Coturnix japonica: one gene and its partners. The protein of the gene in region 1 purifies or fractionates together with the protein of each later gene. This does not show direct contact. Links are inferred from orthologs where the notes say so. Each region holds a gene or a part of one and is shown on either strand. Other genes may lie near its edges. The genes, in order: TMEM259, ERLIN2 and SRPRB.

What was found.
Region 2: the proteins of TMEM259 (region 1) and ERLIN2 purify together in Homo sapiens (affinity purification with mass spectrometry; 3 studies listed by BioGRID and IntAct, with this or other methods). This does not show direct contact. The link is inferred for Coturnix japonica from reciprocal best matches to the Homo sapiens genes TMEM259 and ERLIN2.
Region 3: the proteins of TMEM259 (region 1) and SRPRB purify together in Homo sapiens (affinity purification with mass spectrometry; 3 studies listed by BioGRID and IntAct, counting the BioPlex papers as one, with this or other methods). This does not show direct contact. The link is inferred for Coturnix japonica from reciprocal best matches to the Homo sapiens genes TMEM259 and SRPRB.

The regions. Positions count from the first base shown.
Region 1 is NC_029543.1:1,972,265-1,977,383, forward strand, and holds part of TMEM259 (membralin), read right to left. Parts: intron 4,550-5,119; coding exon 4,283-4,549; intron 3,993-4,282; coding exon 3,824-3,992; intron 2,717-3,823; coding exon 2,606-2,716; intron 1,732-2,605; coding exon 1,609-1,731; intron 1,270-1,608; coding exon 1,169-1,269; intron 648-1,168; coding exon 590-647; intron 471-589; coding exon 387-470; intron 1-386. UniProt on the Homo sapiens protein: May have a role in the ERAD pathway required for clearance of misfolded proteins in the endoplasmic reticulum (ER). Promotes survival of motor neurons, probably by protecting against ER stress.
Region 2 is NC_029537.1:3,559,445-3,564,563, forward strand, and holds part of ERLIN2 (erlin-2), read left to right. Parts: coding exon 1-73; intron 74-410; coding exon 411-500; intron 501-1,975; coding exon 1,976-2,055; intron 2,056-2,955; coding exon 2,956-3,165; 3' UTR 3,166-5,119. UniProt on the Homo sapiens protein: Component of the ERLIN1/ERLIN2 complex which mediates the endoplasmic reticulum-associated degradation (ERAD) of inositol 1,4,5-trisphosphate receptors (IP3Rs) such as ITPR1.
Region 3 is NC_029524.1:3,487,573-3,493,266, reverse strand, and holds the end of SRPRB (signal recognition particle receptor subunit beta), read left to right. Parts: intron 1-170; coding exon 171-307; intron 308-1,376; coding exon 1,377-1,431; intron 1,432-2,642; coding exon 2,643-2,859; 3' UTR 2,860-4,723; downstream 4,724-5,694. Other genes in the region: SLCO2A1 (solute carrier organic anion transporter family member 2A1), read right to left, coding at 5,521-5,641. UniProt on the Homo sapiens protein: Component of the signal recognition particle (SRP) complex receptor (SR). Ensures, in conjunction with the SRP complex, the correct targeting of the nascent secretory proteins to the endoplasmic reticulum membrane system.

The DNA of each region.
Region 1 (5,119 bases):
AAAAGAAAGATCTCTGTTGAAAACAACAGCTGAGGTCAAGCAAGCAGTGGCTGAAGTCACTACACAGGCTGGCTGTGGACAGCAGAGATCTCAGTGGTTTAGGTTGTTTCTTTAAATCCCAAATTACGCTATCGAAATGTGACTACACAAAGCATGAATCTGAAATGAACAAAGCTTCAGTTTATGTGATTCTCAAATCAACTGCTATTCTAGGGGACTCGGATTGACAATGCTGCTCACTGTGCCATCAAATCCCAGAGCCTTCCACCTTGTGAAGGGCAGACACATCAACCATCTGCTGTGACCAGGTCAGAGAAGGGAATTATACCTCCTACAGATCCCAAAGGGACTTGCAGCACAAATACAAGAGGTGAGCATGTCCTTACCTACTAGAGCCAGAATAACAGTGAGCAGGGGAGCTGCAGGGAATGCAATTGTCATGTTCATTTCCAGCATCTGTAATAGGTCAACTGCAAGAAGGAAAACAGTGTAATGCAAAGAGAACACCAGGCCAAGGAACCCTCCAACCCCTACATCAGTCCACATTCAGAGCACTGTGATGCCCCCAAATGACACAGAAAATACCTACCAATGAAGACAAAGATCTGATGGTGTGAGTAGCGTAAGAGCATCGAAACAGACAGAGTCTGAAACAGGAGAACAGAAGCCGCTGTCAGAAACACAACACAGCAGAGGCTCAGGCAGGCAAGCTCGGACTCGTAATGTTCTGTGCATTTCCCATGTTTGTTAGTTTGAGCTACATGGGCCAATTTCTCTAAGAGTAATTAGGATTTCACAAACAGCAATTAATCTTCATATCACTGCTATAAGTAAGGAATTTGTTTGCAAAGAGGCTGATTCTGAATATTTGAGCAGAGGCCAAACCAAACAGCAGCAGAGCTGGAATGGAGGTTTCTTCCTATTGTGCATCTGTGCTCCTCCCAATAGCTCAAAATGCTTCACTGAGAAAAGTCACATTTCTTCTCTCACTGGCCACAATATGCTCTTTGCTTTTAGAACTCGAAATACCCACACTTGGAGGGGGGAAAGAAGAGCAGAACTCCATCAGCTTAGCTTTAAAGCAGCTGTGACCTCAGGCCTCTAACAGCAAACCTTGCCCGTGTGTTGGGCTCAGAGTTCATGGAATGCCCAGCTCCTCCCAACTTACAAATATAACCATGATGACAAAGGCTGCCAGGTAAGATGTCCTGGCCATCCACATGCTGACAAAGCGATAGTGCTCCCCAGACACCACATTGCGAAGGAAACCTGGGAACAAAGAAAGGGAAAAAGAAAGCACACAATTCCCATGTAAGTAACTCAGAACAAGAGCAAACTTCCAGTGCCCTCTGAAAAAACAGGTTGTAATGTCTGAGATCTATGCCAGCACTGCATCACAGCTGCACTCTTATTGTTATGCAGCGCAATAAGGCCATAGGAAATCACGTCTGCAGATGTCTCTTCTCTCCTGTTTCATTTTGTCCCCAGCAATAACAGCCCTACATAACACAGCGAGCTGCTCCCTGCGTTAGAGATTAATCAAAGTCAGAAGATGACATTCATGCATCTGCGGAAAAGCAGCACTCACTAAAGAGCTCCAACTCTTACCTTTGTTTTCTTCATTTTCAGCTAAGGCTTTGACACTTGACATCAGGATGTCATCATAACCCAGGAACTCATCAAGCAACAGACGACTGAACCTGTCCCCAAAGCACTGATCCCTGGTAGGATCTAAAACAGAAGAGCAGAGTAGTTATACCTTTATCCTTTTTAAATGTGAGCACAGTCTTCCCATCATTTAAAGCAGACTTGCAACTACGCTCAAACCTTTGGCAGTGTAACTGAACTGGGCAGGACTGCGAAGCAAAATGTCACACCCTGACAAATATAGCCACGCTGGTAAAATGCTGATGCCAGTCAGGCTTCAAGAATTCCATCTGGGCTGTTATACTCCCCACTGCCATACATACACAGGGGATTCATCTCCTGGGCTTGGACTGCGGCCCCAGTAACAAAGGGCTTTCCCTCTAGTAACAGCTCTCAGAATGAGTCTGTGTGCAGCTCAGAGGCTGGTAGAGATGTTTCTGCAGCCAGCTGGACTCTGCATGGTGCTGCTGGGGCCCAGAACCTCACCCACCCTCCAACAGCTCTGGGCACTCATGAAGCATGTATATGTATTCTGCTGGACACTGATCAGCTTGTAAAAATACCCCAGATCCAAGTAAAACATGAAGCCCAGAAACAATCTTTCAGTAAGTTACTCATGCAGGAACTTCTCTAGGTGAATTGGAAAGCCCAGGTCAGTAAACAGGCATTTAATATTGGCTCTTTCTCCAGTGAGAAAGCTATGCTAGACGCAACGTGAAGGCTCAGGTAACAGAATAGGCTCCAGCATTTCAGAGCACTCCTCTTGAAAAGGGTGTGACCTGCTAAAGCAATAACTGCTCCATAAAGCTCTCCTGCATGGAAAATGAGCGCCATCAACTGTTATAAACAGTTCCCACAAGACTAAAGAGATGGGATAAGTGTGAAGTTTGGAAGGGAGCTGCCAGCACGCAGGTATCTCTGCAAACACATCTCTGGCAGGGCTGGGTCCCTCACTCACCCAAAGTCACCACCATCACAGGGATGCTGAGGCGCTGCCGCGTGCTCTGGGACAGGCGCAGGAACCCATACTCCAAGGAATACTCCACAATGTACTCCTCCTGTGGCCACACTGCAAGAGAAGGTGGGAAGGGAGACTCAACAGGCAGTCAGCAAGAAGAAAACAGGCTCTGGTGTTTGTTTTGCTTTTAGTTTTTCACTACGAAATGGATTTAAGCTCAAATGCAAATAAGGCGTTGGATGTATCAATGCATGAATCACTTCATTTGTACCAGAGATCATTTTATCACAGTAACACACCCTGTCTAAGAGTTCAGCTTGGTGTACTTACAGCACAGAAGAGCTGGATTAAAAGAAAACATGAGATTTTCTAACTACATTAAGAAGGGGCACAGTTCTCTCTCCTACCACATTGCTGGATCATTCCCTGTTTGGTGTTCTGCAAATCAAGGCACAGTCTGTCAGCACACACAACATTGTACAACATGACTGTCTTATAGAGCTTAAGCAATTGTTAATTAAGGTATTGCACCAAAGATATTTAAACATCGCCCAGTCTTAAGAGACTTAATGATCTCAAATACAGGATTAATGAGTTGTGGATCTGCATCAAGCAAAACTCTGCAAGACCAAAGAAACAGTGCTGTTGTGATGTCCAGGCTCACAATCCTCAATGTAATCAGCTCAAGTCATGATGAAACAAGGATAGAACAGGACAATATTTCGAATGAGGCAGACTATTAACACAATCTTGCAATCTACTCCAACTTGCTTGGTGGCTTTCAGGATTAGTTTGCTATTCCAGGCACTGGTGTTGACTCAGGGGACCCAAAATACTGTTAATACAGTGAGGAATGTGAGCTGTGAGTTGGATCCCTGCGGGTCTCAAGAGGATATTAAATGCAGAACTGCTCAGAAAAAGGAGGTTTACATTCATCTTACATACCTGGCACTGGCTGCTGCAGAAACATGATGCCAGACCAGAAACCTCCAGCAAATTTTATAGCCCAGATGCACCCACCCAAATCCCAGCCTCCCTCCAACAGAAGGAAACACAGTGCTGTAAATCTGGTATCAGGAGTGACAAGATTCACCACAGGTTCAAGCAACAGGGATAACCAAGGGACAATGCCAAGTGCAGGCCCAGGGAAGCCAGGAGAAGTGCAGGGAAGATGCAGGGAAAGGAAAGAGCATAGATAGGGATGTAAGTTGTCTTTACCTGCTCTGGCTAGCATCTCAAACTCGGACACAGTCTCCCGCAGAGGCTGCATACCTTTAGTGGCTGCTTCACTAAATGAGAACTCCTGGCTTTCGTTGTGGGCCAGCGCCTCGGTGCTGCTCATCCGGGATGGCTTGAGGAACACCTTGGGCTCTATATCCAGCTCAAACTGTTGGGGAACAGTGGCAGAGGAGGTCAGGTTAGAAGCCAGGTCAGTTCCAGGCTCCTGTGCTCCCTCTGTGCCCTGGGCCGCCAACAGGAGGATATAAACAAGGCTGTTTGCTCAGGCTTTAACTTCTACCTTAAGATGTTGGAAGAAATGCAGGAAAAACTGAGGGAACACACACAGATTCTGAGTGACTGAGCGCACACGGAGGGACCACAGCACACTCACAGCATATGCACCAGCCCAAACCCACTCTCCCCTCCCCTCGTGCACGCAAGGAAACACATTTTTACCTTGATAGAGCTGTTTTCAAACATATCCACTGTCATTTCTTCTTCTTCCTCCTCCTCCTCCTCAGCCGTGGGCTCAACTACCATTCCTGGGAACTTCTCAGCACCACAGAACTGCAGGAAGATGGGGGCCCGGCTGGAGTTGCGCTGGATTTCCACCCTCAGGATGCCATCACGCGGCCATTTGTCCCTCACATGCTCCAAACAGTTGATGGGTGAACGGGAGAAGGCGATGTGAATGTACGCCAGGATGAAGAGCACAAAGAGAGCCTACAAACAGCAAGAAACAAAGCAGAGATTGTCAGCCCAACCAAACATTGCCCGTCGATAGGCTGCCCAGTTTCAGCCATCCCTTCTTCATGCAGATACTACAGCTGCAGGTGGATGAGAGCCTTTAAGCTTTCTAACCCTAACTGTATTTGCATCAAACAGCAGAACAGCCCCCAAATCAACTTTTCTTCCAGCTCCAGTGCTTATATAACACTCCCTTTGTACTTTGTCCTTCTGACACCTCGCTAACCTGCTGAAACCTCGTCTTTCTGAGGTTAAACACTAAGAGCCCTAAAGCTTTTCCTGGGAATGAGAGCTCCCAAAGTGCCTTTGACCAAAACTCCTCCATTAACACACCGTGCTGGGGCTGAGTGCAGCTGGCTGCCACCCAGGAGGCACACTGCCATGTTAATACATACACTGCCTAGGGTCAAAGAAGTGCTGACTTGCACAAAACCACGTGCAAAGTGCCTCCTGCCTTGCCTCTGTGTGCATAAGGGCACAGCATTTCCTTCCAAGCTCCAGCAGCATTCAGCACAGCTACAGAGCAGGTCAACTGCCACTCAGTCC
Region 2 (5,119 bases), on another chromosome or scaffold:
CTGCTGATTGCAGCACAGAAGCAAAAGGTGGTGGAGAAGGAAGCGGAGACAGAAAGGAAGAAGGCTCTCATTGGTCTGTATGGCTTTGTTTGAAGGCAGTAGATATTGGTGTATGGTGGGGTAGGCAGCAAACAGGAACCAAGCTGGGAATAAAGGGATTTATGCGCCTGGTTCACTGTTGGACCATTTCTCTGCTGCATCTTTTTGCTGCTGATCTGATACTCTTCCAGAGAAGCTCAAGTAGGTTTCAGCTTAGCCCATAAATGTGGGCTGATACGTTCTGAAGGCTGAAAGTTGTTGCCAGTGACTGCCACCAGGAGAGGGTGGGAAGGACTTCCATGGGTGCAGTTGCTTTTGGCAACAGGAAGACTGTGGTGTAACAATGTGGATGTGTTCTCTTTTAATTTCAGAGGCAGAAAAAATTGCACAAGTTGCTGAAATAACTTATGGACAGAAAGTGATGGAAAAAGAAACAGAGAAACGGATTTCAGAGATTGAAGGTGAGTGAAAGACTTTCCAATAAGAGAATGTTCTGCAGTGACTTAATCTGAAGAATCTTTAGATCTAAGTTGTTCCTGGTTCTGTTTAGTCTGCATTTTGCTTTTTTGCCCTTTAGCAAAATTTTCTTTAGCAAATAGACTTAACCAGAGGTGGGAACAGGAATGTTTCTTTACAGACTGTGCTTCTTAAAGCTTTTTTGCAAGGGTGATCTCTCTAGGAGGCTGTACTGTTAAATTAAGAAGACATCTCATCCAATACAATGCTTTACCAAGCAAATTCCAGGACGTGAAGAGGTCTGCATTTCCAGCTCAGAGTAGTGAAGCCTTATTTTCGCTTCCATTCATTGTAGGTCCTGTCAGCCTTTGCAGAGGTCCACTGAGGAGCCAATTAAGAGTTTTACAGATCAGTAACTTCTCATTATGAAGTTATTTGTGGAAGCACAATAGGTTTTATTTCTTATAAATGTGTGTCAGGCCTTCAGCTCAGCTCTGTGACTGTGGAGGATTCAGGTCTTCGTTCTTTTTAGTGTCCCTGACTATTATAGTAGTCTAAAGAGGAAGTCTTATGAAAGCCCTCCTGTTTTTAAATGTCGTGGCTCACAGGGCTCCCCACTAATGTAGGTAAACAAACAGGGTTATCCAGCTGTGCAATCCAAACTAGCATATATTACAAATGTGTGGGTTCCTTTTAGAGAAAGAATCTCAACAGATCACATCAAACCAGCCAGATGAAATTCATCTTAGCCTTAACATGATGGCTTGGCATCACGTCGGTGTCATCTGACAGATAAAAAGTCAGAAGCCAAAAAGAGGAATGCAGTACAGAAAAGGGAAATGTTTCTTTCCTTAAATGTCGTTGTTAGGAGCAGGAAAGTTCAGTGTCCTTTGGGATCAGGCCCTTGACACAGACGCTCATACTGCAGCAGAACAGCTCTGCCAACATCTGTCCATGGGGCAGAGCCTATAAAGGTTAAAGCTGCCTGCCCCTGCGTGCCAGAGCTTTAACCTCAGTATCCCAGACAGAATCCCATCTGGGGAATTGCATTAACAGCTACGCACTTCATCTGCAGAACAGACTGCTGTGCAGTTCTTGGAGTCCTGTGCAAATGTTGTGGGTAAATATCACTTTTGCAGCCCAACGGTTGTTTCGTTTGCAGCACAAGAATTAGTGGCTGGCTAGAGAAGAAAGAGCATTCTCTGCCTGTGTGACAGGACAGTAATAAAAACCTTATGTTTATAAAATGCTTTGAGGTCTTCAGTTGCAGATACAATGTATTTAGTATTACATCTAAAATGCAACAGGATGATAAAGGCAGATCCCATTTCTGGGTTCCCAGTTTTGTTCCCTCTTCGCCTCGTTGTATCCCTTACAGTTTAGATGTGGTACTTGCTGCTTTAAAAATCTTCCAGCTGTAAATGGTGCTGACGTGACTGGAAATGAAAATCTGAATATGGGAGCATTTGTTTTCTTCCAGATGCTGCGTTTCTTGCAAGAGAGAAGGCAAGAGCTGATGCTGAATGCTATACTGCTATGAAAATAGCCGAGGCTAACAAGGTATTACTTCCTTATGCTGTGCCTTGTAGCAGAGCTCTTTACATTACTCTGTATAGAACTCAGCAGGAGAGCTGAGTTCTGTCTTGTTTCGGTCAAAAAGCCAAACAAAGACAGAGAAGTTATCTTTGAGACTGAAACAATAATTATATCCTTACTTGCAAATTCACCTTCTGCTCTGAACAGATGAATTTGTGTCAGGGTACGTGAAATATCTGGTTTATGTCTGGAGACAGATCTGCTGGATGCTAATGGGGCCATGACTCCCACTGTAGAAAGAATATCACTTTCAGTGTTGCCCTTTCATGCTGCTGTAATGAGACATGTTGATCCATTTCAGTCTGCAAGCTAGCAAGTAACCAAGGCAAGGAGATCTGCTGAGTGACAGACAGGCTTAAAGTAAACAAGTGTTCAGGTACAGAACAAATAAAGTTGTTTCTGTTCACCAAAGTAATTACCCTGGCAAAGCCTTGTTCCTGCAAAAAAACAGAACCCTAGGGACAGAAATCACATGGATGCAACTTGTTACTGTCTACATCAGGATCGCAGGACATGCCAGCAGGAAGAATTCCTGTGTTGTAAGGGTCAGTAGAAATGGACAGAGGGTCTGAGATGGTTGTGTACAAGTTCTGTTCCAGTTAGAGTTCAGAGCATCTCCATCTCTGTGGTATGTTTGGACTGAACGTTTCCCCACCTACTTCCATTACTTCCTTATTTTACCATTCAGTCACCTGGACTTAGCTTTGCTTAGACTGAAAGAGAGCATTCTTTGAGGTACTCCATCTTTTCTGGAGAGAGGATGAGCATACCCACTAGTGTTCTGGGAAGGTAGATGCCTCCTGTGCTTATGGTAGGAATTTGCTTTTGTCTGAGCTGTTGGTGATCTGTTTTCTTTTCGTGCAGCTGAAGTTAACTCCCGAGTATTTGCAGCTGATGAAATACAAGGCTATTGCAGCAAACAGCAAGATCTATTTTGGCAAAGATATTCCCAACATGTTCATGGACTATGCAGGTAGCCAGAGTAAATTTGCAGAGGGACTTGCAGAAGGAATCCATGAAGAAGATGGGGCAGGACCCAGTGAAGACACAAAAGTGCTTCATAAAACCAACTGAAAAAGAAACATTTATATTTGTTTTATATCAAAAGAAACACGAACTGGGAAGTTCCTTTTTGTTGTTCCCTTTTCCTGTACTGAAAGAGATAAAAGAAAAATTTAATCCTCTCAATCTTTTGTATGACAATTAGACACAGTGAACTTTGGTATTTATGGAATGTTGTTTCTGGTAACTGCTAAGTAATCTGCTCCAGATATGTCTGCTAGATGCACCTCTCCCTTCTAGTGGGCTATAAACCCAGTGATTCCAGAGAGGCTAAGCTAGCTAGGCTATCTGTTCTGCAGCCAGCTTAGATGGTTAATGAGTTTTGAGCTGAGGTTGTTGGTAGCAGTTGGAAGCTTTGAGATTTTGGCAGGAGGGGGGGATTGCTGCTATGACCTTTTTTTTTTCCTAGCTGGAAATTTCTAGTACTTAATTCAAATCCCTTTGAGAAGAAAACATAAAAGGTGCTAGACTTTTTGTACACTACCCATGTCTGCTTGAAGGCATTGCTCAGATGATGGGTCATTGCCTGGGAGCACTGGGACTAACAGCCCGTGGGTAACCCCAGGCCCATCCTCCCTTCAAGGTGTAGCAAATACATGAAACCAGCATTTACTGAGGTCTGAGCAAACGTGTTTTGCCTCAGTAGTGCAGTTGAGACCGCATGCACAGTGAGGTACAGCACTTCAGCTGTTACCCTGGGGGAGTTGTAAGCCTTAGACTGCGTGTCACACAGGTAGTGGCCCAAACTACTCATTTTTTTGCATTTTTAACACTGGTTTCTTTTCCATTTGTTATACTTGAGGAGGGCAGAGGAGAGTTTGTGTTCATCTGCTGGCTGAGGGGCTTAGATGTGCTGGTGGAGGCAGTGCCTGCCAGTGGCTATTTGGACTGGTGCAACCAGGCTGCAAGCATGGTACTTGTTGCAGATGTCATAGACAGAAAAGAAGTAGAGAGAATGCAGTTTTTGTCTCAGGGACCCTTGCAAAAAGCCTTGCTAGTGAGCAACTGCTTGAGTGATTCATCCCACAGTCACTGCAGTACTTCTGCTGTTCTGCAAGACCAATGGGATTTCAGTGTTTGCAGTATTATATTAGGAAGAGGATATTCAGAGAAGCTGAAATGAATGGAACATTGTACCTGGGTGGTTTTATCTGCAACAGACCTTGAGATCTCCTGAGAGCAAAAGACTCAAAGCACCATCTTGGGGGGGAGAAAATCACAGGGCAGATATGACCACCTCTTCTCTCTGGGCTGTTCAAAGAGAAACATTCCTTCTTTGGTCAGAACAGTGAGATGTGATGTACCTTTCATTTCAGACAATGGATTCATTTTTCATTGCTCAGATGCAAATTGGTAATAGGTCTCTTGTTTTACACGTGCAAAACTTGAGGGGGTATTAAAGGCAAAAGTTCAAGGCTAGAGAATTTCTTTTCCCTCTCCCCCAAATCCATCTGCCACTTGGCAGGAGAGCCTGCTTATTAATTGCTGTTATAATTTGCAGCCAATGCATCCCTTATAAGATGATGAAAGCATAAGCACTACGTTGGTCAGGACCAACCTGTTGAATTTACGATCTTATACCCCAAATGCTTGCTGCTTTACTAAGCTTGGTTTCACATTTCAGTGTTTTAAAGATGCATTAATCATTTTAAAGAAGTAATTTACACTAAGAAATCTCATTAATTTCTGCTGCTTGTTCCAGTATTTTTCATTTCAGTTTTATTTTCCCTGTCAGAAGAATTACAGCTGATACTTGAAAACACAGAATAAAAGAGATTGTCAGTTTCTGATGGAGAAAAATCCCATCTCCTTGATGTCATCTTTATATTTGTTGGAAAATCTTAAGCTAAGGAAAGTTCCATCCCCAGACTGACAACACAGTGGTCATAAAGACCACATTGGGGGGTAGGCTGTAATATTGCTTACTCTAAATGTGTCTGTGCAAGAAGATGTTGAACAAAGACCA
Region 3 (5,694 bases), on another chromosome or scaffold:
GCCCTGGGAGTCAGAGCACTGCCTTGGGGAGGCTTAGGACATGTAGTATGTCTTTGGGACAGAGGGGAACGGGTTTCCTGCTGGATATCAATACGAAATGTATTTCAGTCCCCATCTGCTGACCTGCTTTTTGTGTTACAGAATGATCCTACATGTGTTCTTTTTCTCAGGGCCATTGTGTTTGTGGTGGACAGCGTAGCCTTCCAGCGGGAGGTGAAGGATGTGGCTGAGTTCCTGTACCAGGTCCTGGTTGACAGCACTGTTCTCAAAAATGCACCTGCGCTGCTGATCGCTTGCAATAAACAAGGTATTGGCTGCTGCCCTGCAGGTGGGAGTGGTGATTCGGTCCTCGAATAATTATTAGAGTTAATGCCCTGTGTAGCAGAAATGCTAAGCCATGGCCTGAAGCAGTGATTGAGCACTTGATGGAAGGCAGGGCCAACCCAGGGCAGCTCAGGTGCATGCAGTGTACCTGAGTGGCTGCAAGGGGTGGATCCAGGATGCACCCCTTCCCAGACCTCATTTAAGGGTTGGCAGTGGAGAGGAGGGGGTATCTTGCTGGAGAGGAGCTCCCTGCCTACCTGAGGCCTGCAGATAAGCAGCTTTTTTTTCCTTTGTTTCTGTGTCTATGGCTGCTGCACTGGGGCTTATCTTCACTTGCTGAAGCCTGGGACTTTGCTACCCTGCTGTCATTGCTTTGTTTTTTATCACATTATAGTGTTACACCACACACGGTGAATTTCTTAGGGCTTCAGAATTTCAGGGCTTCAGCAAAATGAAGACAGAAATTTAGTTGTAGACTTGGACTACTCAGCAAGAACATTTCTAGCAGCCTTTGGAAGAATTCGTAGGTCAGATACGTCAAATAGCTTAGGAGAAAAGCACCACTTGAAGAGCTAGAGATCGTTAGACAGGCTTAAGTGGTCAATCCGTACAGCTTTTCCTGCAGAGGTGTGGATCCTTGTAGGACAATTTGAAACTTTCTACCAGTGCCAGGTTTGGTTTTCTAGTTTTTTCTTGCAGTATCATAGGAGCATCTTGGAGCCTTCAAGTTCTAGAAGGCATTGTGGTGAGCTCTGTAATGCCAGGACAGGTGAGCATGCTGGGCCTTGTTTGAAGTGATTTAGTGCCCTGTTTCCAGACTGTGAGAAGAAACTAATCCCCTGCCTTGAATTGGGTTCTGGGGTTGCTCTCATTCATGCCCACAGATCTAAAGCTCTTCTGTACCTTATCCAAACACTTACACCATTGCTGTTGTCTCATTACGTCTTATGACAGCATGATATGATCAAGCCTTGCTGTACCTTTCGGAGTAGGAAGCTAATCTGGACATAATACCAAAGAGCTAATTATTTCCTTTTCTGTTTTCTCTCTAGATGTCACAATGGCAAAGTCTGCAAAACTCATTCAACAGCAGCTGGAGAAAGAGCTGTAAGTGTGAAATTGGATCTTAAATCCTCTGGGCTTCTTCTGTCTTCTCCTTTGTCTCCTGCCCATGTTTAGTGAGTCCTTTAAGTACTTCTGTGCTCAATGAATAAAAGGAGAAGTCTGTTTTGTGTAGGTGTAATCAGGATGAGGGAAGAATGTCCTTGCTAAAGCACTAAGATCTAGTAATGTTCCTGGCTTGACAAAAAAGAAGATGGGTGGTGTATTGCTTCCTTAAAGCTGTAATGTGGAGAATCAGTGCCCCGTGGTTCATTTGTAACTCTTTGGCATCCAAATGAGTGTTCCTGGGATGCGGTTGTCACTAGCCAAATTGACCAGTGGGTGGCAGCAGGGTGATTTGTACTGTTGCTTTTCACTGCTGAGTACCTGACCTTCCCTTCTGCAAGGCAAATTCCATGGTAGAAGTTGCTGTTTGCATCCGTGCCTGATGCAACTTGACTTCCCTAGCTTGGTTTTTGGGACACTAGAAGCAGTCAAACTGCAGTGCCTCAATGCCCTTTTCATGCTGCTGTTTGTTTCAGTGCTGCCTCTAGTTTATACTTTGTGGGAGCAGGATGCCTGAGTGTGAGCAGTGAGGTTTTTCCTCCCTTCATATGGGTGGCGGGTTGCTGAGATGCTGCCACAAGATGAAGGGCAGAAACAGCAGCAGTGCTGCAGCCTGGGGTCCTTGGCCAGGCACTGCTCACTGGAGCACTGGGGAGGCTCGATCCACCTCTCAGTCTCCAGAAGTATTTGGCACGTTAAGGTGGCTATGGGGTGAAGATCTGCATGATCCCTGATGTCCTGGGTGCCTCTTTTCCCAGGTAACCTGTCAAAACAGTGCAGATTTGAGCACTGTGGGCTAAACATCTTTTTAGCTGTAGTCAGACAAGCAGCTCTCACAGTCTGGGTTCATTCCCTACCAATGGAAAGGTGCCTTTGTCTCTTCAGAAGTTCTGCTTCTCTCACCAAACCCACGATCTGTCTTTCTCTTGAATCTCTCTCAGTTGTGCCTTGTAGCAGCTGTTTACAAGTAGGCAAAGTGCCTGTCCCTGCCTGTGCCTCGTGGGTTAGGGATATGGGTATGCCTCTGGGGCCTTCTGTCCCTGGGGTTGCTGATGTCCTGCTGACAGCTGAAACCAAAGCATCTCAGTGCTTATGATGTAGGTGTCATTTTGCTATTTGAGTTCCTGATCTTCTCCTTTCTCTTTCTGCAGTAACACCTTACGAGTGACCCGCTCTGCAGCCCCCACCAGTTTGGATGCCTCAGCCACTGGGGGACCTGCTCAGCTGGGAAAGAAGGGCAAGGACTTCGACTTCTCTCAGCTGCCCATGAAGGTGGAGTTTGTGGAGTGCAGTGCTCGTGGCAGCAAGGGAGAGGAGGGAGATGCTGACTTTGAGGACCTTGAGAAATGGCTGGCCAAGATCGCCTGATCAGAGAAGGGCAGGGTGAGAGGGAGAGACCTGAGGACACGTGGGGGGCCCATCAGGGGAGTGAAAGAAAATAGATGGTTTGAAGTACTCGGATCTTACCAAAGCAGAAAGTGAATGCTGGAAAAGCATTGCATTGTCTTCCTCTGTTTGGGAGCATATAACATTTACTGGTGTGATTTCCTCTCTGTCTCTGTCACACCACCACCTTTTTTCCCCTCTCTCCTCTGCTTTTTTTCCTGCGTTGCTGACCCAATAGGCTTCTGTGTTTCCTTGAAATCTTTTGTATTTTCATCATCCAGCTGCCAATCAACTTAGGAAGGAATACACTGCCAGGTGAGTCTAGAAACTGTAGTCTGTCCTTTTCTGCTTTGTATTAGCATTGCATCGCTGTTTCTTCATGGAGGTGTAGTCCAGTTTTTGTGGAACTGGAGTGGCTTGTTAAATTTCAAAGGCAAGCTGGTTGATCTGCCCTTGTCACTGTGCAGTGCCTGTGTCTGGCTGTGGTGCCCATGTCTCTGGTTGACTCCTTTTGCTGGACAGCTCTTGGGAGTTTTTCTTTCTGTCAGGGCTGTGCCTTGAAAGCTTGTTTCGCTCTATTCTTTCTGTACTTCAGGCTCTTCTCCAACAGACTGTAAACAAGTGAATGGCACTTACAGAATGGTCCTAGCTTGAACCAATGGAAGTGGCATATTTTTGGATTCATATGTATGTTAGGAGTTAGATCTGTCATGACAGACCCTTGCTGTTCTTTTTCCTGCCCGTCTCCTATCCAGTGTCTACCATTAGGAGCCCTTTTTGTGTTATTCATCATAGCAGTTGCAGCAAAATGAAGAGAAAGGTGAGCTTGATAGCACGTTGGTGTGAGCGTGATTCTTCCTTACAAGGAAGATGCTTATTGGAGAAGAACATGAGAGCTTTTCCCAGTATTTGTGGTGGTTGAAGGCAAAGCTGCTGCTGTGTGTGATCTCATCAGGGACTGCTGCCTGTTGCTGTAGCTCTTGGGGAGGCTCAGCTGGGCTGCTTTGAAGCTTGTTGAGACAGTAGTTGGGTCTGATTCAGTATGCCTTAGACCTGAACTTTCCAAAAGTTCCTTTGCTTTCCCTTTTCTTTGCTGTAGCCAGGAACATTGGTTGTGTTGAGGGAGAAATTGCAGCAGCATCTGTGAGACTGTTTCAGTTTGTCCTTTCTGAACTACAGCCTTAAGACACTTGTCAGTTGCCCTGCCCAGCAGCTATGTGCTGTGCTGTGGGATGCTGGCTCTACACAACATCTCTGTGAGGAGGATTACTCTCCAGGATTCGATGCTGGGAACTACAAGGTCCTACTGCATCTAGTTTTATTGGGTTTTGTGTAGTTCTAAGCAAGGAGCAAACTTAGGCTTCTCATGCACCTTTTCTGTCCTTTGTGGGTTTCTCTCTGGTTTAGTGCTTGCTTAATGGCTCATCTGATCTGTTATGCTCCTTTCTGGGCATCATCTGACTCCCTGTTGTACTGCTACATGTTAGTAGTGATGGGGGGAACACAAACAGGCTTCAGCAAAGACCTGTGCTCACAGTGAAGCTCTAAAGATAAGCTGGGAGCTGTGCTGTCCCACATAGGAGAATAGGAGGGGTTATATTTAGGGACTGTGTTACATTTTGATATTTGCTGCAGCCAAAGCATTGCTGAAGTGTGTTTGTTGTGCTTGAACTCCCTTTGCTGCAGAATATTGCTGTTTGCTTGAGTGGTAGTTCTGTTTGCTAAGACCTACCTCCTTCGAAATCAGAGTTGTACACCGCTGTCAGGTGGAATAAAGTAGCATGAGACCCTGTTTGGTTTTAAGTTATTTCTGTAATAAAGCATTTGACTAAAAGTTTCTTCTCAAGTCCTGGTTTGCTCATTCTCTCTTGACCTTTGCCTTGACTCTTCTTAGCGGTGTCAGGGTCTACACTGCTCAGGCTGAGCATCCCCTGCATGGTTCCATTCCTCTCCACCCTATCTTGCTGCAGCTTCCTTCCCTCTCTCCATCTCAACTTCATCACCCAGACCCAGTTCACTCTCCTCCAGCCCCAGCTCTGCTCCTCCAACTCAGCTCCATCTCATCACTGTGGCAGAAGCCCCTTACCTGCCTACAGGATGGAGGTGACCGACACACCACATGGAAAATTGACCTTTATTAAAAAAACACAACAGTAAAACCCATTCCAAAATGTTCTGTACTAAACCACAAGAGACGACTTTTCATGTCCATGCTGACCTGTGCAAAGGGATGGGCTGGGGCAAACAGGGAAGCCCCCAGAACTTGGCAGCAAGTCCTGCTCTTATCCTGCCTGGAATGCACTGGTGAGCAGGACTGTTGCTTGCATCTGTGTATGTGTCCAACTGGAACACAGCCCCCATCTGCCTCCTGCTTCCTGCAAAGCAACGGGTGAGTCTTGGATGACCCATCTGGAGGAGCTGGTCCCTGCTGTGTCCAAGTCTGCATCCAAAGATGGGACCAGTGGGGATTGTCCTTTGTTGGGAGCACAGAGATGTCCTCTCCCCAGTCCAGGTTGTCACGAGAGGATGGAGGAGCTGCTATATTGAAGTTGCTCCATTACAAAAGAACAAGAAATCAACCAAATTCCCCAGAAGTCAAAGTGCTGGTGGTGGGCAAATGAAGTGCAGTCATTCTCTGTGCAGTTACACCAGGCCGGCCGCCTTCTCCTGCACATTGTACTCCTTGCTCCTCTTCACCTTCCAGCCAATGAGCGCAAGGAGGATGGTGCCCACCACTTTGTATCCCACCTGCAGCCCCAGGTATCTGTAAAGAGAAGAGGGGGGAGATGCTCTATCCAGAGGCAGCCCCAGAGGCTT